Linked DNA regions of Astyanax mexicanus. The protein of the gene in region 1 purifies or fractionates together with the protein of each later gene. This does not show direct contact. Links are inferred from orthologs where the notes say so. Each region holds a gene or a part of one and is shown in the gene's direction. Other genes may lie near its edges. The genes, in order: slc39a4, agpat4, abcb10 and golm1.

Region 1 (7,625 bases):
TTATACATGCCATTAAATTACAATAAAACGTGTTTTAAGTGCAGAAATGTAAATCTGATGTAAAAAGTAAAACGTCCCTATTACACTAAAAGCATTCCCCAGCTGAAAGGGGGTCTCTGTATGGACTCCCACCACTAGAGTTAAAGCATCGATCCAAACGCAAGGCCCTGAAAAAGACTGTGAGTCTTGCAATAATGTATATTTAGCATAACAATAGCCGATCCACACGCCCGCCTGCTGGCTGGATGGTCAGTCCTTTCTTTCTGTCCAGAGAAGAATAGCCACAGGAGCCAATCAGATTGCTCAGACGCTCTGTGTGGTCGGTGGATCTTTAGGTAGGGTTGTTTTTTTTTTGTTTTGTTTTTTTTCCACTGCCCTCAGCAGAAGCCTTGTTGAGATCAATGCTGCTATAGGAGCTCATTTTCTCCTCTGGTTTACTTTCTCTCTCTCTCTCGCTCTCTTTCTCTCTCTCTTTCTCTCTCTCTGTAAGCTGGAGGATGAGTAGATGCTTCAGGAGAAATGCTGCAGATGCTGCCTATGTTTAGCATGTAATGGATCTTTTTAGCTTATAATAAAGCCGCGTGATGAATGGCCGTTTGTCTGCTTCCGTTGCTCCGTATCTAGCCTCGAGGGCCAGCGGCGTTTACGTTATTGACCAGGAAGAGAGTGGGCCGTCGATGAGGGGAGCTTATTAACCGGCTTTAATGCACTCTCTCTCTCTCTCTCTCTCTCTCTCGTCCAGGTTGGGTTTGTCACAGCAGTAAGTCGCATGTTATTACAGTGTTGGTGAATAAGTGTGACTAACAGCTCACAGTAAGGGACCTCCACCTAAACCCCTCAGCAAAGCTACAGTAACCCATCAATTTCCAGACCTGTTATACCTTGATAGCCTTTTCATTCAGTGATTACTTTAAGAGATGCTCAAGTTAGTAAAGTTAGATGTAAGATTTCACTATCAGATGTTGTTTTTCAGACAAATTGACCAATAAAAAAGCTCCAAGAAATCTTTCTGTTAAAAAATCTGTAATTTGTTATTAGCAAAACTGCAGTAAACCATCGATTTCCAGGCCTGTTATATCTTGATAGCCTTCTTATTCAGAGATTATAGTGTCAGAAGTTGTTTTTCACACAAATTTACCAAAAAAAAAAGCTCCAAGAAAGAAGAAGTTGGGCACTGCGCGGTCCTGCACGGTCCATGCAGCTAGCCGAGAGCTGCCAGAGCCCCGAGAGAGCACAGTTGGCCTTGCTCTCTCTACGGGTGGGTACAGTAGATGGTGCTCTTTCCCCTCATCACTCCGAGGATGATGTCGATCAGCACAAGGCTGCGGATGACAAACAAAACCAAACTGCACTGACTTTAGACTTGATAATAAAACATAGTGGATCAACACCAGCAGATCACATGTCTCTCCAAACCATCACTGATCATCAGTAAATTTTATATCTCATTTAAAGTAAATCAAGGGAGCAGAGTCTGGAGGAAGAGTGGAGAGAAACACAGTCCAAACTGCTTGAGGTCTAGTGTGAAGTTTCCACCAATCAGTGATGGTTTGGAGAGACATGTGATCTGCTGGTGTTACCAATTGGTCTTATATAATATTCAAATTTTCTGAGACACAGATTCTTGGGTTTTCATTGGCTGTAAGCCATAATTATCATACGATAAAAGAAATAAGCACTTAAAATAGATCACTCTGTGTGTAATACATCTATATATAAAATATGAGTTTCACATTTTGAACTGAATCGCTGTAATAAAGTTACTTTTCTAATTAAGGAGATCTTTGGTATCTTGTCTTCTTAAAAAAGCACACAATCTGTGTTTTTGGCTCTTATCAAAGACATAAAGATCCTTTCTGAGGTCCAACCTGTGAGAACAAATGCTGGCTCATGTGTGCAAAACAGCATTAGGAGGACTGAGGCCCCCCTCTTGTGGGCAGATTATGAACATACACTCCATTCTCCAGTCTAACATGATGGTTATTATTTACCTGTTTTTGCTGCGGCAGGTAAATTTGATATCAACTTTCCTCAGCTGTGGAATATTCCCACAGGTCATGAAACGGCAGACATCAGGATTCAGTGCAATAATCCAGTGTCACTGAGTTTAAAAGCAACTACAGTAAAGTGATAACTACCCCTGAGTAATTGAATGGAACAGAACGTAGCCAACAGCACACAGGGGCAGCACAAAGGTGCGAGAGCTTCACACGAGGAAGTGAAAACAGGTGGGCACCTTTACTGCTAACAGCCTGGTCAGGGCAGGGTTCACATAACCCCTTATCCAGGTTTATGTGGTTTAATGATGAACATTTGGCATATATTAACAAAATGACTACCTCAGTAGTGCCTTTTGAGACTCTTATAGACGCTGGATATTTGGTGAACCAATAAAAAACACCCATATACAGCTCTGGACAAAAATAAGAGACCACTTAAAATTATGATTTTTCTTTTATTTTATGAAATTGAAAACCTCTGGAATATAATAACCAAGAGAAAGATGGATGATGGAGTAAAGGCATAAAGTTATCCAAAAGCAGTGTGTAAGACTAGTGGAGGAGAACATGATGCCAAGATGCATAAAAAAAAACTGTAATTAAAAACCAGGGTTATTCCACCAAATATTGATTTCTGAACTCTTAAAACTTTATGAATATGAACTTGTTTTCTTTGCATTATCTGAGGTCTGAAAGCTCTGCATCTTTTTTGTTATTTCAGCCATTTCTGCTGGAAAATGAAATCTGCATCTCTATAAAAGTTGACAGTAGCAGAGGGAAGCATGAAGTGCTGTAAGATTTTGTGGGAAAACAAAACTGAACTGACTTTAGACTTGATAATAAAACACAGCGGATCTACACCAGCAGATGACAGACATGTCTCTCCAAACCATCACTGATCATCAGAAAATTGTACATTTTATTTGGAAATCAATGGAGGATTCGGAGGAAAGCAAAGCTCACAGACGCAGCCTTGTGCTGATCGACATCACCCTAGGAGTGACGAGGGGAAAGAGCGCCATCTATTGTACCCACCCAGAGAGAGCAAGACCAATTGTGCGCTCTCAGGGCTCCGGCAGCTGATGATGGCAAGCTGCATGACCAGGATTCGAACCAGCGATCTTCTAATCATATGACATACAGGTTTTCTAATAAAGTAAATCCTGATTATAACATTGAAGTAACTGAGATGTTACCTCCAAGTTTGAGCAGGTTATAAAACAAGTAGGCTGATGACACAGCAGGATTTAGAGCTGAGGAACTTTCTGCAGGGATTCGGCCGCTGTAGGTTTTTCACGCTCACTTTTTAAAGGCCTTTTCTCCTCCCAGCTTCAAGCGCTCCTGTGTTTTTGCCAGAGAAAAAAGAAATAGGTCACGTATTCACCTGTGTCCTGTAGCTGCTGCCTAAAGTGTGCAGGCGCTGACTTTCCAGAAAACGCTGACCGCCTCACTTGTGGAGAAACTCTGCTGCTGTAGCCTGGTAACAGCTGATTCAGCCGCGGAAGGTGGGGGCGGGGTGGGGGGGCATTGCCCTTTATGCTGATATGAGGCCAGTTTTGCTGCTCAGAACTTGGTCCGCTTAGCTGATCTTGGATCAGCTCAGTGAAGGACAGCGTTCTCATGCGTGCAACAGGGAAGAGTGGAAGGAAGGTCAGAGGTTAAGCCATGTTGATGGGGTGTATTGATATAAACTTGAGGATGAAAAAAAGGATGAAAAAGATAAAAAGAGATACTTATGAAGGGACCAAGTTGTACAGTATATAATATGTTCCTGTTATAATATGTTTATTATAGATAATGTTTTATTGGTAATGTCATATTGGCCAAAGTATATAAGATCTATCACACTGTCTAAACAATAAAGACAAAAAAAAAACAGCATTAGAGCCAAAGAGTCTAATTAAAAAAGGTTATTTTTCACTAAATTAACTTATTTTTTAATCACACTTTTAGCATGCTTATTTTACTGTTTAGGGATGGTTTGTGAACAAAAAGGTCAATATCAAAAATAAAATAAAAAAGTTAAAAATATTATTAGTAGTATTTAAAAATTTTGAAATTATGCTGAAATTATGTTGATGGAACATGTTGGAATTTAGTTGTGTTTATCAAACAAAACAATGGGATTAATATTAAGTGAAACAACTTTAAAACGTTAAGTTAGTCCAACAAAAAACATTTTGTAGCTTTTACTACACGTTTTTACTAACTGGGGATTATGTGTATCTAATAAAAGATCTATGCAAATTGTTACATACGTTTTTTTTTTTTTTCAAGTAGATCCAGTATATTATTTTTTAGATAATAGATCATCATATATTTCATTTTGTTGGGTTTAATATGGGGTTTAACGCTTTATAAAAAAGCTTGTAAGGCCTGTTCACATCTCCTTGAGTGGCCATCTTTAATAAAATGAGGTTTATGGTTTATTACCCACATCTATAGGGCTAATCCCAAATAAAATTCAATGTATTCAATTTTATGCTTCAATATTATATATATTCGTTTGGAAAACCACATGCACGAGCTCAGAGAAGTCACCGGGACAGGTGTGAGCTGGGACAGGCCCCCCATCCGGCCCAAGCCTAGGGAACAAACTCCCGCTGTGTGATGAGACGTAGTCGATCAGGGGACCAATCAGGATCGAGTGGACCGGGCTGTAAGAGGAGTATCTACCTGTGCAGGTAGACTCTTTTCCCTCTTGGAAAGCACCTGTAAACGGTGGCACTCTCACGAGGACTGCGCACCACCACCAGTTTTTAGACACGTTTTCCCAACGTTTAACACACATTTAAACCGTGTGGAAACAGAATGGAAAGCTGGAGGCCGGTTTTGCTGCTGTTTCTGATCTGCCACGCGCGCGGTACCGGGGCGCGCGACGCCAGGCAGCACGTGTACGGGAAGGTGGTCCACCTGCTGTCCCCTGGAGAAGATGAGCTGAGTGACAGCGCCGTCCGCTCCTTTTTCAGCCTCCTGGAGAAACGTGTGCAGTGGGCCGGTGTGTCGTGTGGAAAGGTACGAGTTTTTTTGCACAGCACGAGCCTGACTTTCCGCGGGGTCGAGGTCCAGCACCACCCCTGCCGCCGCCGGTCCGTGTGCTACACCGCCGAGAGCAAAGCGTGGAGGGGTATATAGACCAGAGCGTCTTCTTTCAGTCCAAAGCTTCTCTTTAGCGCTTTTCAGACGTTTTATAGACGGTTTATATATTTTTTTAAATATAGGAAGGATATTAATTGTCAGTGTTCTGCTGTTAAACTAAAGTAAATAGCTTGTAATAAAAAATAGGCATAAAGCTCGTCGGAAAAAAACATGCTAACTTGGCGTTAAAAACAAACAAACAAAAAAGAATTTGGACAAACAACACAAAATTAGGCAGTTAAATAAAAGTTTTAAAATTTTAAAAAACTATTTTTTTTTTACACGTCGGAAAAACGTGCTAACTTAGCCTTAAAATCTAAAACGAAAAAACAAATAATAATAATAATTTAGACAAACAGCACAAAAATAGGTAGTTAAATAAAACAAAAAAAATCTAAATCTACTACAGAATTATTTTATTCGCTGTTATTCTAGGGACACTAATGTTTTAACTTAACATTAAAATCTAAAAAGATTAAAACTTTTTTTGATAAAGCACAAAAATAAGCAGTTAATAAAAGTCAAAAGAAAATCTAAATCTACTACAGAATTATTTTATTCACTATTATTCTAGTGACATTAATTTTTTACATGTCAGTAAACATGCTAACTTAGCTTTAAAATGGTTAAAAAAGAATTTGTACAAATAACAAAAAAAAAACAGGCAGTTAAATAAAAGTAAAAAAATATATATAACAGAATTATTTTATTAATAGGAATGCTGGAGGTCAATCCAAGAATTGTCTGGGAAGAACCCCAACATGGCTTATTTTTCGATTCTTCCTGATTTATCCTTTATTTTTTTGTGTGTGATTTGTAATATAATGTACTCATTTTGTACAGCTTTTGTTTTCTGCCCTTTTTTATCCTTTTTAACTACATGTAAATAGTCTAAGTGAAAAAAAGCACTGTTACTCTTTTCTTTTGAGCTTTTCCTGCTTTTTTAACCTTAGCATTAAAACCTTCTCACTAACTTTGCCTTAGAAAGGGTCCTTTGAGGAACAATCTGCCATTGTCTTTTAGTAACAATGGCTTATTTAAGAAAGGTAATAATGTGGAATGAGGAGGGCTAGGGGCTAATGCTAGCTCATGTTTTGTAAAAGCTTTTATTTCTTTCTTTTTTATATATATACCTTTGAATATTTTAGAATTATGTAGATTTTATGTTTAAAAAAAAATCCAGTAAATCCAACATATTACTTTTACATAACCATTTTACAACAGAACAAAGAGCCAAAGAGCAACGGCTCACTCTTAAAACCAAGTTAGACTAAAGGTTATTGGGAGCTGTTTCATCAACAACATTTAATTTTTAGAAATAATATTTTAATGACTGGTAACTATAGGGACCTTGCTGCAAAAAATGTTTTAATAAGTTTCATCTATAACTGAAAGGTTTTAAAACCAACTCATGTTGAAACCTAAAACCATTTAGGTCTTTTTTTTATTAAGAATGTACACAAAAGCTACACGTCCACTAAAGAATTCATACCAATTTCTATGTGTGTGTTCTATAGTAACAGACCTCTTGATAGCAATTTGTTTCCACAGCATAATGTAAAGCTCAGATAAAGCTGATAAAGCAGATAATGGCTCCATGAAGCCCAGAGTCTAATTTCATCTAAGATAAGAGATAATCTTCTTTAAAGGTTCCATATGCAACAGAAAAAAAAGAATCATAAATGTCATATTTTCCATTTTTTCCAAATAATTTAGAATTAAAAACAGTTCTTTGATGTTAAGATATTGTTTAATGCCTCTTTGTGCTACTAATACAGTTCCAAACTATCAAATCATGAACTCTACAGACATTTAAAGATGTCCTTTGGTGGTATCTGGCTCTAAGATGATAGCAGTAGACCCTGTAAGTCCATATAGTTGTTGGTTCACTTGGACCATGGTTGTCTTTCCTTGGACTGCATATTGGAAACAACTCAGAAGATCTACCACATTTAAGAGAGGTTGTGTCCCAATCAGTTTGGATCTTATTTTTTACTATGTGTACGCTCCAAGTAAACAAACATGAAGCAAGCAACCTACCTGAGGTGAAACCGTACAAGAACTGACAAAGGAACACAGGGGCAACAAAACAAAAGGGGCTATATATATATATATATACAGAAGTAGACATGAAACAGGAAACACCTGGGTACAGGTAACGAGAGGGTGGAGTTACTAATGAACACAGGTGGGAGCACTGAATACAGGGGTGGAGACAAGGAGAACATAGAGCCATGTGCACGAAAGCACATAAACAGGAAAAGAACGTGACAGGTGGAGATGAAAAAGGCAATTAAAAGGCAACATGTGGTGAGAACATGATCTGATCTCGATCTGACCCCAGCTATCAAATATATTTCTTTTATTTGAGCTAAACTGCTGATGATAAGTCTCTGCTGCTCCATGCTGTTTACGTGCTGCGTTCACTGCTTGTTTGAAACACAAAACACATAGGCTTCTTGCTATATTTTCAGTTCAGTTCTGACC
Region 2 (6,838 bases), on another chromosome or scaffold:
TAAACAGCATCATGAAGACCAAGGAACTCACCAGACAGGTCAGATAGGTTATAAAAACATATCCCAAACTAAGCATCCCAAAGATCACTGATCACAGTATTCTACAACTGTAAACCTACCAAAATATGAAGGTCCAAGAAATCTGACAAATCGGGATCTCCCCCAATCAGATCTCAGTGTTTAGGATCTGGACTGCTCTGGGAGGAAGGTTGTCCTGCGGTGTGGACAGCAAAGTCTGCGTCCTGAGGGAAGATGTTCAAACTCAGGAAACTGGACATTAAAGAGGTCCAGCTCCTAAATGCTGAGAACTGATTGGTTCTGATGATAAATAATGTGTATCTGTGAATCCTGTAGGAGAATATGATGAGTTCCAGGTTTTGAAGATTTAAAAACCCATAAAACACCTAAAACATATCTTCTCCCGGTGCTGTGGTATCTGTATAGGGTAGCGGTGGTATCTGTATGAGGTGCTGTGGTATCTGTATGGGATGCTGTGGTCTCTGCGTGGGTTGCTGTGGTGCAAAAGAGTTCTCTACAGGTAAAATTTAGCTTCTTTTATAAATGAAGCCTACTGGAAGCACAGGCAGCATCTCATAGGGAGGTGGGTGGCTTTTAGTCTTAAACTGTAAAAATATATATACTCAGGTATACTCAGCTGATCTAGGTAGTCTAGTCAGTAAGATTAGATAGTTTAATGCAACAGATGAAAAACAAAATTATCATGAAAACCACTTAAAAACATTAAACACTGTGAATCTGTGAATTCACAGAGCCGCTAAGTAGCACATATCTATTAGTATAACTCAACAGAACACTCCGGCTGGGCTAAGCTGAGCTGAGCTAAATTAAACTAAGCTAAGATAAACTAAGCTAAGATAAACTATGCTAAGCTAAGCTCTGCTAGGCTAATGCTAAGCTAAACTATGCTAAACTTAGCTGTGCTATGCTATGCTAAACTGCAAAGATTCAAGTATAGCTGAATATAGTCAAATAGTTTCTACAGACTTCTAAATCTACTCACCTCCACCTGAGATGCTGCATGTGCTTCCTGTGACCTCTGTTTAAAAGAGCAGATAAATTACAGTGCTGCCCCCCTGTGGCCAAACTCAGTATAGCTCAGTGCCACGGCTTGATGGTGACCGGCAGCTTGTGGCTACAATTGTCCATGTGAAAACACTCAACACAAACACACACACAATGCAGGAGAGCCCACACACCCACACCTAAACCCATACATCACCCAGTGCAAGACAATGAAAAAAAATTTATATGGATTTAAGATGATTTAACTTGCTAAGATTTTAGTTTTCTGCAGTGCGGGGGTTTATTTCTGTATTGTTGAGTAAAAATAACTCTAAATACACTTTTAAACATGTATTTTAGCTTCTAGAGCATTCTTTCCTTTAGTTTAACTCATGAAGTTCCTAATATTAACTCATACTGATCATCCAGAGAACATCACTACAGCACAGTGTATAAGAATGTAGGAGTGCTTTAGGGTTAGTTCTGGGGCTAAAACTAACTCTGATCAGATTTCTAGAGCAAAATGTTACAATAAAAGTTAGGAAATTGTTGTGTCATTTGTGTTACATCCTGATTTTAACCTTATACCATTTACAGTGATTACAGTTCTCTTTATCACAATCAATAAGAAATAATCATGAATGAGCTGCTCACTGAATTTACCAGATTCAGTTTTAAAACTGATTAATATTAAGAAATTAGTCTGATGGGCTCTTAAAGTAAAATAATGAGATAGTATCTTAAAATAATAAATTAGTAGCTAAAAATACTGACTTACTCTCTCAAAATAATGACTTACTATTTCAAAATAATGGGTTAGTATCTCAAAATCTTAAATTAGTACCTCAAAATAATGACTTACTTTCTCAAAGTAAAAAAAACTATAAAAATTACTATTTCAAAATAATGAATTAAAATAAAGAGATAGTATCTAAAAGTAATGACTTACTATTTCAAATTAATGACTTACTATCTCATTATTTTCAGATAGTAAGTTATTATTTTGAGATGGCAAAATAATGATAGTATCTCAAAATAATGTATTTGTATCTCAAATAATGAAATGGTATTTCAAAATAATTAATTACTATCTGCAAATAATGAGATAGCATTTTAACATAATTTATTACTATTAAAAAAATTTATTATTATCTCAAAATAATGAGATCAGCAATTATCTGCAGTTTACTTATCAGTAAGATATATATATATATATATATGTATATATATGTATATATATATACATATATATATATATATATACATATATGTATATATATATACATATATGTATATATATATATATATACATATATGTATATATATATATATATATATATATATATATATATATATATATATATATATATATACATATGTATATATATATACATATATATTATTTTGAAATATTAAGTCATTATTTTGTACCTTAAATATAACAGAGGACAGTAAATGTGTCCGGCTGAACTAAAGGCTGTAGTTCGGGTAAATCGCCAGCAGAGGTCGCAAAGTTACTACAGTAAGACAAGTGAAGTGTTTCTGAATCGGAGGACATGCTACCTACTTAGGGAGGATTCTGAGGCGGGAACTAGGGAACCCGGGCAAATCTGGACTGGAGATTAGTTATCTGGCGTTCATTTTAGTGGACAAAACATTATAAAATATAAGGTTAAAACACTTTTTTTTCTGACACAGAGACTCAATCACTACACAAAATCCACTAATGAGTGAGCTAGTGTAGGCAGCAAGTTACCAAGGTAGCATGTCCTGCGTATTAGACACACACTGATCCTGCAGATGCTGATATAAACACTGCCTCTCTGAATAATGTTATAATGTAAAATATTTTATTTAATATTTAATATATATTGCATATTAAAATTTATTTTAAATTTAATGTTTAGAGGGCGTGAGGGTACAGGGTGTAGGGTACAGGAGGAATATTGAGACACACCCTTAAAACAGCTCGTGCCTCTCATCTGTCTTCAGTGTTGCCAGTTTGAGGAATTTCACGTGACATTTCTAAGACTGAATGTACATTCATTTCAACATTTTGATTGTTCTGGGCTCTGAATCTACACTTACAAGGCTTTGAGGATAAAAGTGCTCCTCATAAATAAAAATGTTTATTTTATTATAGTAATAATAATAATTATTATGAGTATTACTTAAATGTCCCTTTCTAAACTGTACAAACACAGTGCAAGCTATAAGAATAAAATACAAGTTATATTTAATGTATTGAGGTGTTGTTTAAATATTCTTATTTCGTTACTGATATCACATTAAATGTTTTTTGTTTGCAGTTAAAACATTTAAATCTGCTTTATTTTTAAATAACTGATCAGTACAAATTTAAGATATCAGTAGTTTATTTTTTGGTCATTTGTTATTGTATAATACTGTTCGTACTAATCGTGTCAGACTTATTGGTGAAATTTTTGCTTTTGATACAATATGGCACACCTCTAGCTTTATATTGTATACACACTGAATAAAAAAAACATGATCAAGATTCAGATTTATTCTAAAATTATAATATATATATTCATGTATATTAACTAAACACATAAAAAACATAAGTAAAAAACTACTTTCAAACTGAATTTAGATATTACCTGGAGGTGTATTTATTTACTTGTGTGTAAAGTGATGATGATGTAGTGTTAATAGGGAAAATCCCTAGTTTTTATTATGCTGAATTATTCGGCTGTTTTTGGCGGGTTTTGAATCATTTTTGTTCGGATTTTTGTAAATCACTGTAAGAATCTGGCAACCCTGCAACCCTGAATGGAAGGTTCAGGGCGTGGCCCCGCCTCCCCTCACTGTGCCATGCCTGAGTGTGAAACGCTGCTGTAGCGCCGGGAACAGTCCGATTACACCTTCCGATTATACCGATTATATCGGTTACAGAGTCCGATTATACCGATTACAGCGCGGGGCTGGAGGAGAGCGGTATCGGACTGCGGTTCTGAATCCGGATTCAGGAGATCAGCAGCTCCTCAGCACTGCTGTGTTTAAACCAGGTGAGTGTTCTAGTTGAACTCGGATGTTTCTAACTTACTGATTTAATGCGATTAAACCGAATTCAGCTTCTATTAACCCGCCTATAAATCCGATTATATACAGAACTGATCCTCCCATAACAATCATAATACTAACAACAAACTGATCTTCATACTGTTCTCTCTCTCTCCCTTTATCTCTCTCTACCTCTACCTCTTTTTATACCTCTTTCTCTCCATCTACATCGCTTTATACCTCTACCTTTTCTTTTTCCTCCCTCGCTTACTCTCTCTTGTATATCTTTAACTATCTATCTCTCCTACTATACGTCCCTATACCTCCCTTTCTGTCTTCATCTCTTTATGCTGCTACAATATATCGTTACTGTCCTATGAAAAACACTTTTCATGAAAAAAAAAAACTCCATTTTCGTCGATTTTAAGTTTACTACATAATTTGAACAGACAAACTGTCCCTTATACTGTGCCAAACTTTCTTGATGAAAGGGACCAATAGAAACTCTTCAAAATGACCTGAAATAAACTCTTTTTACATTGACTTCCATTGAAAGTTTACAAGGTTTTTTCTCTCTCCTGTAAAGTTGCTGTTTTGGAGATAAGAGTTTTTCATTGGACAGCGACGATATATTATGATATATTGTGATACTCTAAGTAGGACAATATATAATCAAAAAAAGGAATTTTACAAAATCTGAGTAAAAGAAAAGTTTACTTTTCATCCAATTGGAACATCTATCCACAACACAACATCTAGTTGGCGGGGTTTAAACAGACAACACTAAATGAACCACTTCTGACACCAATCTTTACATCTAAACTCACTCAAAACTAAATATCAAGATACTGCAATTTATCAATATTTTCTAAACATAAGACAATATGATGTTAAAACAATGAATACTGTGATACTTTAATCCTCTCTCACCGTGTGGTCAGTGTAGAGTTAGAGAAAGCTGCTGTAGGAGAAGTTTATCAGTGTAAATGTGCAGCATGTGTTTAACTGATCAGCAGTGGAACAGCACGTCATGTGTTCACCGCTCTCCCGAGGGAACAATAGACCCGTTTCTCATCCTACACTCAGATACTGAGACACTGAGACACTGAGTCAGTGTCCAAATCTGATTATTACAGGACCAGCACAATGCTAACACTGTACCCTGCTGCACTTTCCACCACTTTCTTAATTTTAACTCTGAAAAACTGCAGAACAGGGGAAGCATGAAGTGCTGTAAGATTTTGTGGGGGAAAAAAACTGCACTGACTTTAGACTTGATAATAAAACACAGTGGATCAACATCAGCAGATGACAGACATGACTCTCCAAACCATCACTGATCATCAGTAAATTTTATATTTCATTTGGAAATCAAGGGAGCAGAGTCTGGAGGAAGAGTGGAGAGACACACAGTCCAAACTGCTCGAGGTCTAGTGTGAAGTTTCCACCAATCAGTGATGGTTTGGAGAGACATGTCATCTGCTGGTGTTGATCCACTGTGTTTTATTATCAAGTCTAAATTCAGTGCAGTTTTGTTTTCCCACAAAATCTTGCAGCACTTCATGCTTCCCTCTGCTACTGACAACTTTTATGGAGATGCAGATTTCATTTTCCAGCAGGACTTGGCACACTGCTCACACTGCCAAAAGTACCAATAGGTCTTATATAATATTCAAATTTTCTGAGACACTGATTTTTGGGTTTTCATTGGCTGCAGGCATTAATTATTAACAATTTTACTGAGATAAAGTAACTTTTCAATGATATTCATACTTCTTGAGATGCAGTAGTATGGCTGTGCTTAGAATATCACAGTGTATTGTGCTATATTGAATAGTAAGTCGTGTATGGTGATACGCTGCTGTATTCTGATGTGTATCTGTGTATATGTCTCTCTCCTGCAGGGACTGTAGAGGCTAAAGAGGACAGTAAAGACTTTGTGGTGTTTGAAGATGGGTCTCCTCAGGCTGCTGAAGACTCAATTCCTGTGTCATCTTATTATCTGTTATGTGTTCTTGGTCAGCGGCATCATAATCAACTTCCTGCAGCTCTGCACGCTGCCACTGTGGGGCATCAACAAGCAGCTGGCACGCCGGGTCAACTGCAGACTGGCATACTGCATCTCCAGCCGTGAGTACCAAACCAATTTAGTTTCTGTGGGTCAGGATGTTCTGCTGTTCGTTTCTCCTCCACTAAACATTAAATATTAAGTGCAAACATCTGGACATTTAGGTGGCTCTTTTAAAATTTAGCTCCTTCAACCACAGACGCAGCTCCCTCTCTGTGGAAGGTAGTGGATGAAAGTTAAAGGGGCACTAAACTCCCTGATTTGATTTTAGCTGATTTTACCCTCAGCTCAAATTTGAAAACTGTAAAAAAAAAAAAAAAAAATAGGAGAAGTAGTTTGGGAGATAAACTGGGTGATGTATGGGTTTGGGGCGGGGCAGGAGAGAGAGCTGATTGGCTGAGCTGTAGCAGCAGCAGTGTGCCTCTGATAACGGTGAGAAATAGATGGTTGGACGTCAGCAGCGTATATAATTAACTGAAGGTTGTTTTTTTAAAGGTTAGGAAATTATTATAAAAATGTTACACAGGACTAGTATGTTTCATTACTTCTTTTATAAGAAAAATATCAGCTATTTATTAAAAAAAATAGGGTTTAGTGGCTCTTTAACTGAATCTCCTCAAGTTCTTGCCAATACACAGAGCTAATATTTGTCTTATTTCAGATTTTCAGATTTCAGCAGAGTGTCCCAATGTTTACCGTTCGCTATTTCCCCATCTCTCATTT
Region 3 (7,940 bases), on another chromosome or scaffold:
AAGAACCGCGCTCTCGAGTAGTTGCTTTGAAATTAGAAAGACTGACATGTCATCATTTTCTGAATTGCTTCCAAGGTCGCTATGAAGCAAGGAGTTCAACATAGCGTCTGCTATGTGACATGCATCTTCCTTTGAGAGGTATGGAGCAATTAACGGCAGATTGGTGGTTACAAGGAACCAGCAGGCCACAGAATATGTGTCGTTATTCACATTGCAAAGCTGGAGGTCCCACGTTTGGTCGGTACTTAGGTTTATTAAAGAGTCTTGCCTGTTTACTACAAACTGAGCACTTTCACAAAGAATTGTGTGTCTTTTATTGTCTGTGTTTAACACAGGCAAAGGAGAAACAAGCAAATGTTTCTTTATCCTATGGACAGCGAGAAGCTTCTGAAGAAGCCTACTCAGTGGGCTACTACTGACTTTCAGAGCCAGAACTTTCTCTACTGTATCAGACACAGGGCGCACTGTACTTGTGCCAGCTGGTGATGTGTATTTGCTGCAGTGATTCTGAAAGAGGGAGTCAGCCTCATGCCATATGTAAGTAAGAAGAAGACTAACCTCTTGAATCTTGTCTATCCAGAGGGTATCTGTACTAACAAGCCCCTCAAGACACTCCAACAATGATCCAACCAACCTAAACATCTGCTCCATCATACTCTGGGTCTGCCTGACCAGAGGGACTGGGGTGCTATCATCAACTGTCTTCAGACTAAAGACGACCGTATGAAGAAGAACACTCAGAGATAACAGTTTCAAGGCAGACTCCTTTCTCATTTCCTTCACATAAGTAAGCTCACTTTGTATCTTCTCCAGAATGCGTCTGCAGATTTCTAGGTTCTGGCTGGCAGGGCTGTCCAAGAGACATTGACTCAATGTTTTCTGCACAGCTTCAGTTAACAGCTCTGGTCTCAGTTCATCAGCAGCCGGACGGGTGATCACGATTAGCACTTCCTCTGTGAGTCTTGGAAGCTGTCGTAGCTTCGCGTAGGTCCGTATGACCTCAGAAACAAGTGTTTCACGAGCTTTTTTCACACGTAACTCAGTGTTCTCTGCATCCACCCAAGCTGAGGAGACAAGCTCATCAAGATCAGGCTCCAGGATTAAGTGGTTCAGTGCAAGCAGGGTTTTTAGGCATCGGTACCAGGAGGGTTTGTCTGTTTGTGCATTGCTAAACAAAAGTTGCGCTACTTTCCTGTAGAACGTTAGCTGCACCTCGCCGTGGTGAATTCTGTCTGCGGCTACATTATAGATGTCTCCAGCCAGGCAGGAGTTCAACATGTTCTCCAGAGAAAGTAGAACAATATTCCAATGTTCTGGATTAAATGTCTCCTTGATTTGCAGGTCGTCTGTAAACTCTAACGCCAGGATAAACTTTGTCATAATATGAAAGCAAACTAGCTTGTTGTCGTCATCTTTTCCAAATGAATCTAAAGCAAACTTAAACAGTAACGGGAGAGAATTGCACCTGACAGCATACAACAAAGCCTCTTTCTCAACTCCATGTCCGTGAACAAGTTTTGACAGAATTGTAGCAACAGGGCAGAGTAAGATATTGCCAGTAGATCCCTTTTTGGAGCTCGATTCTCGTTCTGGTGGCAAAACTTCTTTTTTATAACATGGTAGGCGGTCATCGAAGAAGAGAGCTGACTGAAGAATCATGTCCACTTTACTCCGGATCTCTTTGTTCAGATTCTGCCTGATTCTCGGGTCATCCCTCTCAGTCCACGTCCTACTGCTCAGTAGATGCCTAAGCAGGCAAAGCGGCTGCAAAAGGTGTTCTGTGACCTGAGTAAAAACTCTGTTGGAGTTGCCTTGCTGTTTTTGTACAGTCAGGTAGGAATTGAGCACAAGGAACAGAACCTCAAACACATTTAGTGAAAGAGGCTCAGAACATTCCTCCTGCTGGCTGAGCTGATAGCAGGCCAAACCACAGACTTTAACCAGTAGTTGCACCAAAACATCGCATCTGGCAGTGTAGCTCACAGAGAGGACAGGAGAGCTCACAATCCCCTGACAGCAGCTCAAAACAGTGGACAGGCTAACAGACAGTGTTCCTGAGCTGGCTTCTTGAATCCTTTCAATGATTATCTGTGTAAAACAAACAAAAAAAAGAAATAAAAACTTTACTGAGCTTAAATCTGATGACTTACAAACAAATGTCAGTAGGTGGATTTTAAATACAGTTTCTGTTTAATGTTTTATAAGCTGATATTTATTCATTTATTTTATAATAAATTATTATTACCGTTAACTAAAGCATATAAGTCATGCTGTGGGAAATTATCCAACACAACATTAAAAAAAAAAAAAAAAAAAACCATAAGATCTGTGCTGAGCTTTTTGCTACCTGACACACTGCTGGGTTCACAGTAATAGTCTTTCCTTTGCTCAAGACATGTTTAATCCTCTGGCTGTGAAGAAATTCGTCCAGGTAGCTCCATAAGCCTTCCACTTCTTTAAATGGAACTTCTGCTTTCTTGTTGTAATAGGCAGAAAGGGCATTAGTAGTCCAGTCAAGCAAAACCTGTTAGATAAAGATAAAGTTATTAAGGTTTATAAGGTGTAAGGTGTGAGGTTTGCAAAGTAAAACTCTGTGTAATACATGTTCTGCATTCAGGACATGGAATATTTTTGGCAAAATAACAGTACATTCCTGCCTACATTACTAGGAACATATAAATAATTTCACAATTAACTAAATAGGCACACACATCAGTTTATTATTATAACCTTTGTAAATGTCAATTACTTTATAAGGTGATTATTACCTGTTCCTTGTTTGGAAGAAGGCATTGCCTTGATACCAATGCAAATCGAGCAAGCTTCAGTTTATCTGCCCAAGGTGTCTGAGAGCTTTTCAGCTTTTGATAGATACCAGTGTAGATGGTAGCCATGTCCAAAAAAAGATGGAGCTGAAAAAAAGGGCATAAGGAAATAATTATTTAGAGTGCAAATTAAAGACAACTGCACAAACAGTATAGCACATGTTCCCTTTTGAAAAGCACAGTTCAATACCAGCTTTGGCTAGCAGCTGGTTTTAGATAGTTTGGGTTGATCTTTGATGGTAAAAATGTCTAAAAAGATTAAAAAGATGGTTATTAAAGATTAAGTTGGTTAACCATCTTTTTACTAGCATAGTATATGTTGCATGGAACATGGTTTTCAAATGCTTTTTAAATACCCATATGTTTAATTTTGGATCATACTGATATTTTGTGAGTAAATATGTAATCTTTTGGGTTTAAGCACTTTTGGAGATAGACTGAGTTGAGTGCAGGTGAACTCCCCCTTTGCCATTGCGTTTTAGTGCCCCGCCACTTTGTGTAGTGCAGTGCTGTTATAAATGCTATTATTATAAATGGTATTATTATAATGGTTAGTCGACAAATATTCATATTTAACATTGTTGATTATATCGACTAATAGTTGCTGGCCTGGTGTTCGTTATTAAACATTTCAAGAGAATGCAGATTTAAGAGAACACAACCTAAATAAATAATATAAAAACAGTATTTCTACATGAGACAGTCTTTATTGATCTACCTGACTAATTGCAGCTGTTTCCTGCATTTCTGCCAAAAGGTGCTACTAACGAGGGGTGGATTAATTATTACAGTAAACGTCACAATACCAGGTATAATCATCTTACCACTAAGAAAGTTTGGTAAAACTGATCACACTACAGCAGTCATACAGTGTGATAATACAATGTGTCAATAGCATGTAGTCAAAACACCTAAGATTATGATATAAAGGAAACTAAATCACAATCAAGGTTGCACACACACACACACACACACACACACACACACACACACACATACTGTAGTTTAGTCACAGTAACATATACCATTAATCCATTTAGTTAACTAGAAGTTAGATAAAGGTAACAGTTCTACTGTAGAAATTCTACAATTAGTTGTTTACAGCTCCAAAACAGCAGCAGTAACGTGAGTTTTCATTGACAGCATGCCTATGTTTCTTCAATCATCAATAAATGTTGTTAAAATGAGTTTAAATCGGTTTGCTTCCTTCAAAACACCATAAACTTACATTCACATCACACACGTGGTCCCCGCTAAAGTCCTCTACCCGTGTAACTCTGCCCCAGCACTTCCGCCTAGACTGTACGAATCGATAGACTATTAGCCAGCGATCCGATTCGGTTTGGCTAATATTTTCTACTGGTTATTTTGCTATCTTAAACATTTACACACTTGTATATATTCTATATCAATTTCAATCTTGTCTCACTAGCCATAAAAACGATTAAATCACTGCAAAAGTGATCAGCTATTGAAAGGGAATTACAAACTTCAATAGTTTATTACTGAATATTTAAAAACGCTTTCAAAGCTTAGAAGGAGGCATTAAAGCATTAGATGTTTTTTAAGACTTTAAGACTTAAAGGTTCAGAAAGAGAAGAGAGGTGAAAATGATTTTTAAAAAATACAAATGCTGATGTTTCAGCTCTCAACATATAGCTATGAATAAATCATTATGTAGTAGCATCCAACTGTCTACAGTCTGTATCAACATAAATGTTATGGAATTATTCAATTCAAGTTTAATATTTTTTTAGAAACATAAAATAAATAAAGTGCAACACGTTTAACAGATAAATGTGCCAAAACCTGGCGAAACGTTTAGGACCAGGTGTTCTGTCTGTCAAGAAAAATATATTTATTATTATTATATTTATTATAAAACACGAGAAATAATTAATAACCGTGGTTCAGCGCATGCGCAGTGCCTTTAGGAAGCACGTATCGATAAGTAGCATGTCGCGACGGAATACCGGCGATCTACAGAAGATGTGACAGCATAAATCCCTCTAGATAATTATTTGTAGATCAGTGAATACGTGCTGCCGGTGGAATCGATGGATCGCGTGTGATTGGACGCGTCTGAAAGAGTGTTATATTACTGTACTGAGAGCGGCCATTGGGCTGGAGTGGAGTTTAGTTTGTGTTAGTTTCTGTGCTTCACGGTGCAGGAGGACACCTGGGGTCATCCACCTCAGCGGACTCTTCTGAGCGCGTGACGCTGCTGTGGATGTGCTGCTCCACGTGGTGCTCCCAGAAGCCCCGCGTCCCTCGTCCCGGTGTTTTGAATGGATACAAGAGGGAGAGATGACCTAACCTAGCTAACCTGGGGCGGCTGTGTCAGGTTGTGGTGACAGTGGGGCGCTGCCGGTGACTGGTCTGGGTGGAGAGGAGATAAGGAGAAGGAGAAGCTGGGCTGTGTGAGGAGCTGTCACTGACAGATAATGCGGTTTAGTAACTGTCGGACTCGAACAATACCTTTGCTCACAGTGGGCTTGGTGTTTCTGAAGAGATCAGGAGCCGGAGTGCTTGTGTAGAGCTGGATGTGATCAGCTGGATCAGCTTGGGTAGTTAACTAGCTAAATATTAAATATAAATAATGATGTGTTTAGACGTATACGTTTTGTAATGTTAGATATATTTCTATAGATATAGAAAGTGATTTGTTTAGTTTAAATCTTTTTTTTATTTATTTGATAGCATTTATGATGTTAAAGCAAGTCATGTCTAGTTTAATTAAAATGTATCAAAGCTAGATAACCTAGCTATCAATCTCAGTCTGCAAATGCAGGTGGCCTCTTTATTTCCTTTAACTGCATTAACTGCTCATAATGTTATTAACGCCAAGACTAACTGCTGGGAAACTACTGCAAAAGTGGAGCATTTCCTGCTACCGTCCTCAAAGGGAGTACCTGTTGCCCAGTCGGACTTTGGGAAGGTCGTGGAGAAGGCAGGCGTGTGGGGAGGAAAGTGAACACTATGGGGTCTGTTTTCTTCCCTTGTACGTGAGGAAAGCCCTGTCCCACCATGCCTGCATCCGCCCGGGACTGGGCTTTATCTCCCGCGCCGCTTGGCCGCACTCCATGCGGGCTGCCGCTTTCTACAGCACCTCGGCAGACTCTAAACAAGCAGGGCATGTGGCAAACGAGCAAAGTCAAGTCAACACTAGAGTCAAACCAGTGGGAATACCCTCGGATGACCTCAAAAAACTGTTGCAGCTTGCTTATCCAGAGCGATGGAGACTGACAGGTAGAGTCTCAGTTCATTGTGTCTTTTCAGTTTTTTTTTTACCTCATCCTTTTAAGTGTTCCTACAGTTTGAAATTGTACTAAACAATGCACATAACGTATGAAAATTTGTGTTTGATAGATAATTTATTTTCTGTAACAATGTTTCTTGGAAATAAATATTATAAGATTGAAAATCTTAAAAAAGGTCTCTTTTAAGCGATGGCTTGTTTGTAAGGAACATATATTTGTGGGATGAGCAGAAAAGCTGAGTATGTGGGTTGTGCCCATAAAAAGTTAGTCAAATCCTCACTGCCATTGCCAAACAGCTCATTCTGCCATTGACTTGTTAAATGTTTGATTATGTATTATCTTGGGGTCTTCTTGAGACACCCTTTTTTTGAGGCCTGTCTCTAACATCAATTTTCATATAGCACTTGGTCTTCATTTTGGAGATACTGGTACCATGGCTCACTACAAATAATGGCGCAAACTGGTTTTGTGGAACATCAGCTTGAATATGCCCTATCACACAGGCCTATTCAGAAAACCTACTGATCACTGGGCCCATGCTCACAGGTGCCATACCACACCTGGGGGCACCAGAAGTCGAATGCAATGGTCAATAGCAACATCAAAATAAGCTGTTTTGCAATTGCAGAAAAGACAAATTATTCATGGGCGTAACACACATACTCAGCTCTCCTGCTCGTAACAAGAATGCAGGTTCCTTACAAATTTGAAACCGTTAAAAAGGAAACTTAACAGGCTTCATTATAAAATTAATTTCCAAGAAACGTTGTTACAACAAAGAAATAATCTACCAAACAGATTTACCAAATTTCCTTACTTTTTGTGCTATGTTTATCCATCCACTTAAAAAAATACGGTGTTCATTTTTCCTTAAGCTGTAAAACTGCTATATGAACAGTAAATGGACTCCACTCTAATTGGCAAAGTTGCCAAGGTTATATGCTAAGTAGATTGATATGCACTCATTGACAACAACAAAAAAACAACAACAAAAAGATCTTTACAGGGGCTCTAATTCTGCTGGTCTGCCTCTAGCCTGGGCATATACAGTATGTTCCAAGTGGAATTCTGCAACCCAGTTGTCTACAGATGTAACAGCTGCATCAGTAGCTTCTGCAGACTCATAGGTTGCAGAAGCCACCATCCCACTTTGTCCAATAAATGCTCGTTTGTCAATACATCACAAAATATCAGTTAGAAGCCCTGCCATAAGAAGCAACACATTGTTCAGCACATATCGCTGAGTTGTTAGTGTCCCTTATATCACTCCCTGGGGTGACAGATTGTGAACCACACCAGCAGTTGGGACAGTGTGTCACTCCACAGCAAAGGCAGGATTGAAACTCTCATCACAAAGCCTTTCCATGACTGTCATTTGATCCCAAACAGAACCTGGATTTTTTGTTAAAATCAGTCCAGTAATGAAACCCTTTTCAAAGTTTGTAAACTAGACATAATGACTTAAAGTGCATTGTTGCGGCATGCCTAGCATTCAACAATCTCTCACCAAGAGGTACACCAACCCAAAAGTAGCCTCTAAAAGCCTTTTAAATAGGGTGGCAGGGGAGCATTTATATGCCCTGTAATCATTTCATATTTGCCATAAGACTGCACACCAAACTGTTCAGTCCAGAATATGTAATCTTTTTGTAATTAGGGACATTTGGAAACACTGAATGTCAACAAAACTACATGTAAACATTTTAGTTATGTCAAAATGTGTTGCATGTTTACTAGTTGTGCTAGTTCTTGTGGTGGTAATGTTTCAAGTTTTGTTCTTTTTTTCTTTTTTTTTTCTGGCAGCTGCTGTGGGTTTCCTTGCCATCTCCAGTGCTGTCACTATGTCTGCTCCATT
Region 4 (7,810 bases), on another chromosome or scaffold:
TTTACAGTTTTAACTGAATTACTGAAATAAAATAACTTTTCAGTGATATTTAAAATTTTCGACATGCACTAGTACATTGTTTCAAGATGAAGAATCATGCCGAATAGACAATTAGAAATGCTTCAAAATGATTTGAAACAAAATAATTTTACATTGCCTTCCATATGTTCTTTCTTTCTACAAGAAACGTTACCTTTTGGGTATTACAAAGATTTTTGTGTGATGGTTAGGTTATACAGTCTGGGCTATTTGAGCACTTTTGGGGTCATTAAATTTTTCTGTCATTTTACTTTCTGTCTTTACACACCTTTGGTCAGAATATAATCCGGCATGTTTGAATGTCTTTGTTTTCTGAAGGAGGAGAAAGCCCAGAACAGATTCTGAAAGGAAGGTGACCAGGATTTGACCCAGCTGAATAAATATTTGTCTGTTCCTTTGTCTCTGTCTAAACTTTAATACATCTTTTCCTCCACAAAAGACTTTGTATTTTGAATAAATCTTTTTACATTAAGACTTTGTCGTCTTTTCCCTGCTCTTTCATTTACTTAAATATAAGCATGGGCGCAGATGGCACTGGGGACGGGGGGGGGGACATGTCCCCCCCAGATTTATAGTGACCTCATCCGAAATCTATCATCTACAAACATAAACGTTGGGGTTTTAATTTAATTAACTGTACGTTTGTGGAATTCTGTGTTCCACAATGCCCTCGTTTTTAAACTAGGAAGCGTTCAGTTCAGAGGTTACATTGTTCGGAGCTCCGTGTTCCAGTTCCAATGTAAATTTAACGCACCTTCTCAAGTCCGGGGTTCTAAGGAGCTGGTAACTGCCTGTAGACTACAGACAGAGGCAGTTACCAGCTCCTTACGGTACGTGTCCACTAGCACTTTTTTCAACGCAATCCGCTGCGCTGGATCTCCTTGCTCGTTTTTGAATTAAAACGAAGCAACAGAAGTAGACAGTCATAAGTTTAATATTTTTATTTTTTTACCAACCTCACTGTAACCTATAGCTCTATAAATCCATATTCTGCCGCTTTCAGCTTCTCTTCTGTGGTTGAAAGGCGCCTGTTCTGTCTGTGTGTGTGTGTGTAAGAGGCTTGTGTGTGTGTGTGTGAAGACGCAGCCTGCTCTTCCCTCATTGGCTGGACGCAGCCTGCTTTTCCCTGATTGGCTGGACGCAGCCTGCTTTTCCCTGATTGGCTGGACTGGACACAGTGCGGCGGCCGGATTTATTTGAATAAAGTTGAGCCGGAGGGCGGAGCTGCGTTAAACACTGCGTTTAACATTGTCTTCCTGGTCTTGCCTAGGCTGTAGCAATGAAGAAACAAAAAACATAACATATAACAATAACAATATTCTAAAGTTTATTGCAGCATATATATATATATATATATATACGTATATATATATATATATATATATATATACGTATATATATATATATATGTACGTGTATATATATACATACATATATATATATATACGTGTATATATATATACACGTATATATATATATATGTATGTATATATATATACGTATATATATATATATACGTATATATATATATGTATGTATATATATACACGTACATATATATATATATATACGTATATATATACGTATATATATATATATATATATATATATATATATATATATATATATATATATATATATATATATATATATATATATATATATATATATAATTTTACAGCTTGGTCCCCCCCAGTTCAAAATTTCCATCTGCGCCCCTGAATATAAGACATACTGTATCCTTCAATAGGACCTTGTAGCCTAAGTATTAGTTAGAATATGAGGCATCTTTCATATTTACTTTATACTTCCGCCATCTTTCCAGAGAGCATGGCAATTTAGAAACCATGCCCCAGGTGTTCAGAGACTCATGCTCACCCTTTGCACCTGAACAAATGTGAATTATTGAACTGAATCTTTTGATCAGTTTGTTTAAATGATTCCAGTGTTCGAACAGCATTGAGTCTTAATGAATTTTACATTATTATAAGGTTACCAGATTAAAGTTTCATGTAATAATAATGAACATTTCTCCAAAGAACGATTTAAAACATCTATTAGAAGGTATTATGAGGTATCTGTTTGTTTGTACTGTCAGTGTAAAGGCTGTAAGGTATGATAAATACCTGTATAGCAAATGTTACCATTTTTTCAAGATTTATTAATTGCAGGTTACAGCATGCTTTTATTTTGGATGCTGTAAAGAAGTTTAGAGTTTCATTTGAAGTAAAAAAAAAAAAAAAGAGATCATTATACGTTTCATTCAGACTCATTTATTTATTCGTTATTATTATTACATAAACAACTTATCTGTGATCTGGTATAATTTTTTTTCGTATCTTATTTTTTAATGCATCCCTCATTAAAATGTGTGATATTAAATTCTATAATTCAAAGGTGTTAAATATCAGAGTGTTATTTAAAGTTCATTCACCTGGACTAGTCTTATGATTTAAAAAGCAGTTTGTACTGAACTTATTAAAAATTCATCACTGGAGGTTCTAGGGGCGGGGAAACATACTAATGCGGCAGACAATGGCCCCGGCTAAAATCTGATTGGCCCTTCGAAATGCCCCTGTCCTGTCACTTATTTTCTCTATGCACAGTAAAATTGCATGTAAAATTGGAAAGGAGATTTAATTTTTTTGCAAGGAGTTAATTTTGTGAAAAAAATGTACACAAAAATATTAAATCTGCAATCGAAAATATATACATATAGTAGCAAAAAATAGTAGCAAAGAAGAGATTCCTTTTAATCCTTAAATTGATTGCAGATTTATTTGTTTGTTTAAAACTTTTGGCACAAAAATAACTTCATAGATTTTATTGTGTTAACTTTTTAAACTTACATTCAAGTGTTTAAACGTGGTGAAATAATACTTGGCCCCTCCTCTATGAATATTGTGGCCCTTGATAGCCCCTTACTCAGAAAAATCCTAGATCTGCCACTGGGAGTGGGCGATATGGCCCTAAATTTTTCGTGATAACGATACTCTTGGTGACATGACAGAAAAAATGAAAACTAAATGTTATTATTGCATACAGTATGATATGGCACACCCCTAATTGAGATATTAAAAAATACAATAATTTTTATCAAATTTGTAACAGAAGTCAATGATCCAGAATGTCATAATACTAATAATGCACTCCAAATATCTCCATTGTAGAGTAATTTACCACAGCATGAATTAGATAAAACTCAGATGTGAGAAATCCCAGAACATGAAAAGATGACCAATGAGTCAGAGCTTAAAATTTAAAATATATATTAAAGTTTACTGGAAACATTGTTTCAGCATTACAGATATATATAAAAGGAACAAAAATTATTAAATATATATTAGAAAATAGTAAAAGTACATCAACGAGTCAACACATAGTGTAATAAAATCTTGATAGAGATTTAAGAGAAAGAGAGAAAGAAAATAAAGCCAGTCGAGGGAGAGAGAGAACCCTTCAGACTTTATCCAAGCAGTTATACATTTATGCAAATAACATGTGATTGAACAGAATTTATCAATATGATTATGTCAGCAGAGTCCAGTTAACAGCTTGTTGTCCAGTTCCAATGACGTGATCAGCTCCAGCCTGTCTGAACAACAAGTTCTTTTCATGGTGTTGTTCAGCTCTGTGTCCTTCATGAACACAGCAAACAGTCCTTGTGTTTCAAACAGTCCTTAAGTGTCCTAAAGTCTGTGATAAGATGAAACAGAGGAAAAGAGTGGCTGGAAAGATCTTCTGGGGCTGTGTAGACACCATATAGAACAGGCAGGCGCTGGCTGTCTGAGGAGATCTCCTGTCCAAAAAAATAAATAAATAAATCTACCTTGCACGCACACCAAATGAGAACATAACAGGGTAGATAGATAGATGGATGGATGGATGGATGAATGTATGGATGGATGGATGGAAGACTTTAATTGTTTTTTTACTTTTACCAGACAGATTTTAGAGTAGTCAGAGGTGGAATGAGTTTTAATAGGAGCCATGATGCTCCTGAATGCCTCTGTTCAGGAGGAAAAAAAACACCGCCTGCCCATGCTAAAAACTGATTGGCTGACTCACAGAGTCTTTGCAGAGAACAGGCCAATCAGATCCCTCTCTCTGTTTTGCATGCTGTTCACGAATATGCACAGGAGGGAAGCGCCTTTCTCTCTCTCCCTTTCTTTCCCACACATGATTGGGGGAAAAAGTCTGTGTGGCTTGCATGTACCTGCTATATTCTGGGAGATTTTATCTGATCCCAGGGCATCAGGGAGCCATTGTTGATATGCAATAGACTCCCGCGACTTCCGGGTGATTTCAGACATCTGTATAATTGTAATTGAGAACATTGTGCATTTGTCTTTTGCTGATAACAGCAAAAAAGTAGTACCCTGATGTGATAATTAAGGGTGGGTGATATGGTACGATATTTCAGGGTATAATATAATTCACAATATTCAAAATGTTGTCGATATTATTGCGCACACCCCTACCTGCCACTGTAATACATAAGTATTCCAGAAAAAAGTGAGATTCGATTCGACTCTGTTTGACTGATTATTTCAAAGAACCGATGCTTACTAACAAAGGCAGATAAATTACAAGCATTCAGCACCGGTTACACGGTGAAACTTCATTGTGTGATTGTATGTATTTTAAGATGTTGTAATATTTAAAGACTAATACAGTGCGGAGATCTCACGGAAAGACTCGATTCACTTTGAACCGATTCGTTAACGAGTGAGTCGCATTGCTGTTGATGCTCCGCTGCTGCTGAGTCAAATCAAACAGCGCTCTGACGGATGTAGTTCGGTTAGTATAGCTTGGCGCTGGCAGACAAATCCTCGGTCAGAGAAGCGGATTATCGATGATGTTCACGCGTCTGGGTCTCAGCTGATGTAACTGCGCTGTTCAGTAGAGAGGTGAGAAGAGATTTGTGATGAAATAATCTGTATTTCCTTCATAAACCGGAGAGAAGAGCCGCCGGGCTCTGTAGCCCCTGTGTTGTATTAGTTAGCTGCAGGACTCCTGTTAATGATACTTAGCCTAGCTAACAGAGCTAACAGGCTAAGTTAAACTACCCCACACGGCTTTTGTAGTTCTCTGTGATGCACTAAACAGAAAGGTTTCGCCTCTTGTATCTTTGCTGAGCGTTCAGGGCAGGTTTCTTGTCGTTTCTTACAGGAATAGCGTTAGCACAGGACGCTAACTGCGAGTTGTTGACGTGTTACTTCTTGAAAACCTGTCTGGAACTAACTGAGTTAATGTTAGCTTAGCTGGCTAACCTAACTAGCTAACATATTAATCTGCCTCCGTTCTACTGTTGTTGGTGGTGCTCTGGAGAGCTCTCGTTATCTAGCGTTATCTAAATTTAATCATTTAATGACCTAGAGACCTGCTGTTGACACTTTTATAAAATCTTAGCAACCCAGGAACTCTGCAGGTTCACATATAGCTTATGAGGAAAACAGTGGTCCATCACAACAGAGCGCTACTGCTTCTGGTTTCTCTTGCTTGGAGAACTGGGACTGGATTTGCAGCTAACCTAAGATTTAAGAGAACACTTCAGTTTCTGAATCAGATTCTCTGATTTTGTTATTTATAGGTAAGCTATATGTTTGAGTAAAATTATCATTGTTTTCATTCTGTAAACTACAGATAACAGTTCTCCAAAAAAAAAAAAAAATGTTGTCACTGAGAAAATGAGAAATGACTGAAATAACAAAAAAGATGCAGATCTTTCAGACCTCAAATAATGCAAAGAAAACAAGTTCATTTTCATAAAGATTTAAGAGTTCAGAAATCAACATTTGGTGGAATATCCCTGTTTTTTAATCACAGTTTTCATACATCTTGGCATGTTCTCCTCCTCCAGTCTTACACGCTGCTTTTGGATAACTTTATGTCACTCCTGGTGCAAAAAAATCAATTCAACCGTACCGTAATCTCACCGAAAATACACCTTTCCACGGAGATCCACGTTAACACAACAGTGAGTGGAAATAAAAGAGCTACTAAATTGTGATGTCATGTGACTGAAAAAGCCTAAAAACGCACTCACTCTTCTGTTTTTTTTATTACAGTGTGGATGCAAGAGTTTTATCAGTAGAAATGTAAAGTATTTTACCCTTAGGTACTGTACCAGTTAAAAGTTTGGAGACACCTTTTCTCATTTAATGTGTTTTCTTTCTTTTCATGATTTTAAAGCTATACTGGAACATATGCAGCATTATTCTGTAAAGAAAATGTTAAGTAGCCATAATTATCTTTGATGACAGGTTTGCACGCCCTTTTTTAGTGGCTTTGTGAGGTAGAGTCACCTGGAATAGTTTTCTCAGCGTCTTGAAGGAGTTCTTGGAGTTCTTTTTTTTTTTTTTTATTAATCTACAGTGTAGAAAATAAATTAAATGTAAAGTATCCCAAAATAAAGCAGAACAAAGAATAGCAGTGTCTTAAATGTCCCTGCTGATACCTGCTGGGTGAGCTGATATGATCCTCTGCAGGTCTTTGGGGAGCTCAATCAGGATTGTAAACAGGTACTTTCAATTGAGTAACTGAAGTAAAAGCACTTTTACTCACTGCACCGCTACGTTCACTGCTACTGAAGCTGATATCTCTCTCATACCAGAAATCAGGTTACTCTGGGCTTTCATGTTATCATATTAAAATGAACACGTCAACTAGAGTGTAATCTAAGGCAGTGCCCTACTCTCCCTACTGAATCATGTGGGTGAGCCTTCCGTGTAGAGTCCTGCTCCAGGAAATGCTTACACCATCTCCTCTGTTCTGCATTTAACAGTAAAAACTGACATCATCACAGTGCCGGGCGATATGCCAGGTATTATTGTCTTATGTAAAGTGCATCATTAAAAAACACTTTCTCATTTTAGCGCTTCGTACTTTGAAATGTGTGCACTTTACTAATGGTACTCAGGAACAGTTGATTGAAGAGGAAAATGTGCCAATCCATTTTTAGACACTGTAAAGTCTGCTGTTTATGTGTATTGGGCCCTATGAAACCATTTATTTAGTTTTTGTCCTTTTTTTTCCCTGTTTAATTTTTTTTTTCTAAATATCCATCGCCAGCTACAATTATACAGGCAGTAAGAAAAATACCCTTAACTATTAAAATAAATGTAATTTATTTAAAAAAAATAAATGTAGAGACTTGTGCACTTGATAATTTATGTCAATACATCAGTGCATCTGCAGGTTAAAAGCATTTCTACACAACAGGGTGAAAGCAGTACTCATACATTTGGTGTACATCTTTTGAAAGTAAGTGAAATACACCTGTGATGAACTGGCGCAGTTTTACAGTCACAAAATAAAGGTAAACTTAAAAAAAAACTATTCAAAATCTAGGTTTAAAACACCTAAATGACCCATTTGAAAAACATTATCGCCTTCCTAAACTTAATGCTGCATCTGCTACATTTATCATGAACAACAATACCATATGCAAACATATAAAGTGAAGTGAGTTTAACGAAAATGCAACATAAATGCTAAACTGCTCAGTGAGGATAAGGTGTAGAGATGTGTAACATACTGTAACATATAGAACATACATGATCACAGCAGTTACTGTGGTAGAGAGTTTATAGTTTTTGGAATTAAGCAAATATTGCTGATAGGGAAAGAGACATTTCAGTTCCAGTGTGTGTGTGTGTGTACAGTGATTGGTGGGTTCAGTACAGTTCTTCTGTGTGTGTTGCTGCTTGTGACTCCTGTGTCTACTGTAACTATAACTCAGGAACTATTGGAACTCCCTGAGAACTAA

The links.
Region 2: the proteins of slc39a4 (region 1) and agpat4 purify together in Homo sapiens (affinity purification with mass spectrometry; 3 studies listed by BioGRID and IntAct, with this or other methods). This does not show direct contact. The link is inferred for Astyanax mexicanus from reciprocal best matches to the Homo sapiens genes SLC39A4 and AGPAT4.
Region 3: the proteins of slc39a4 (region 1) and abcb10 purify together in Homo sapiens (affinity purification with mass spectrometry; 3 studies listed by BioGRID and IntAct, counting the BioPlex papers as one, with this or other methods). This does not show direct contact. The link is inferred for Astyanax mexicanus from reciprocal best matches to the Homo sapiens genes SLC39A4 and ABCB10.
Region 4: the proteins of slc39a4 (region 1) and golm1 purify together in Homo sapiens (affinity purification with mass spectrometry; 3 studies listed by BioGRID and IntAct, counting the BioPlex papers as one, with this or other methods). This does not show direct contact. The link is inferred for Astyanax mexicanus from reciprocal best matches to the Homo sapiens genes SLC39A4 and GOLM1.

Annotation. Positions count from the first base shown.
Region 1 is NC_064410.1:3,405,432-3,413,056, reverse strand, and holds the start of slc39a4 (zinc transporter ZIP4), read left to right. Parts: upstream 1-4,619; 5' UTR 4,620-4,811; coding exon 4,812-5,015; intron 5,016-7,625. UniProt on the Homo sapiens protein: Selective transporter that mediates the uptake of Zn(2+). Plays an essential role for dietary zinc uptake from small intestine. The Zn(2+) uniporter activity is regulated by zinc availability.
Region 2 is NC_064432.1:23,983,849-23,990,686, forward strand, and holds the start of agpat4 (1-acyl-sn-glycerol-3-phosphate acyltransferase delta), read left to right. Parts: upstream 1-3,829; 5' UTR 3,830-4,052; intron 4,053-5,951; 5' UTR 5,952-5,999; coding exon 6,000-6,177; intron 6,178-6,838. UniProt on the Homo sapiens protein: Converts 1-acyl-sn-glycerol-3-phosphate (lysophosphatidic acid or LPA) into 1,2-diacyl-sn-glycerol-3-phosphate (phosphatidic acid or PA) by incorporating an acyl moiety at the sn-2 position of the glycerol backbone.
Region 3 is NC_064414.1:38,773,844-38,781,783, reverse strand, and holds the start of abcb10 (ATP-binding cassette sub-family B member 10, mitochondrial), read left to right. Parts: upstream 1-4,928; 5' UTR 4,929-5,656; coding exon 5,657-6,074; intron 6,075-7,888; coding exon 7,889-7,940. Other genes in the region: urb2 (unhealthy ribosome biogenesis protein 2 homolog), read right to left, coding at 1-2,088, 2,348-2,524, 2,769-2,894.
Region 4 is NC_064419.1:21,470,916-21,478,725, reverse strand, and holds the start of golm1 (Golgi membrane protein 1), read left to right. Parts: upstream 1-4,796; 5' UTR 4,797-4,949; intron 4,950-7,810. Other genes in the region: ATP-dependent RNA helicase DDX51, read left to right, coding at 358-384.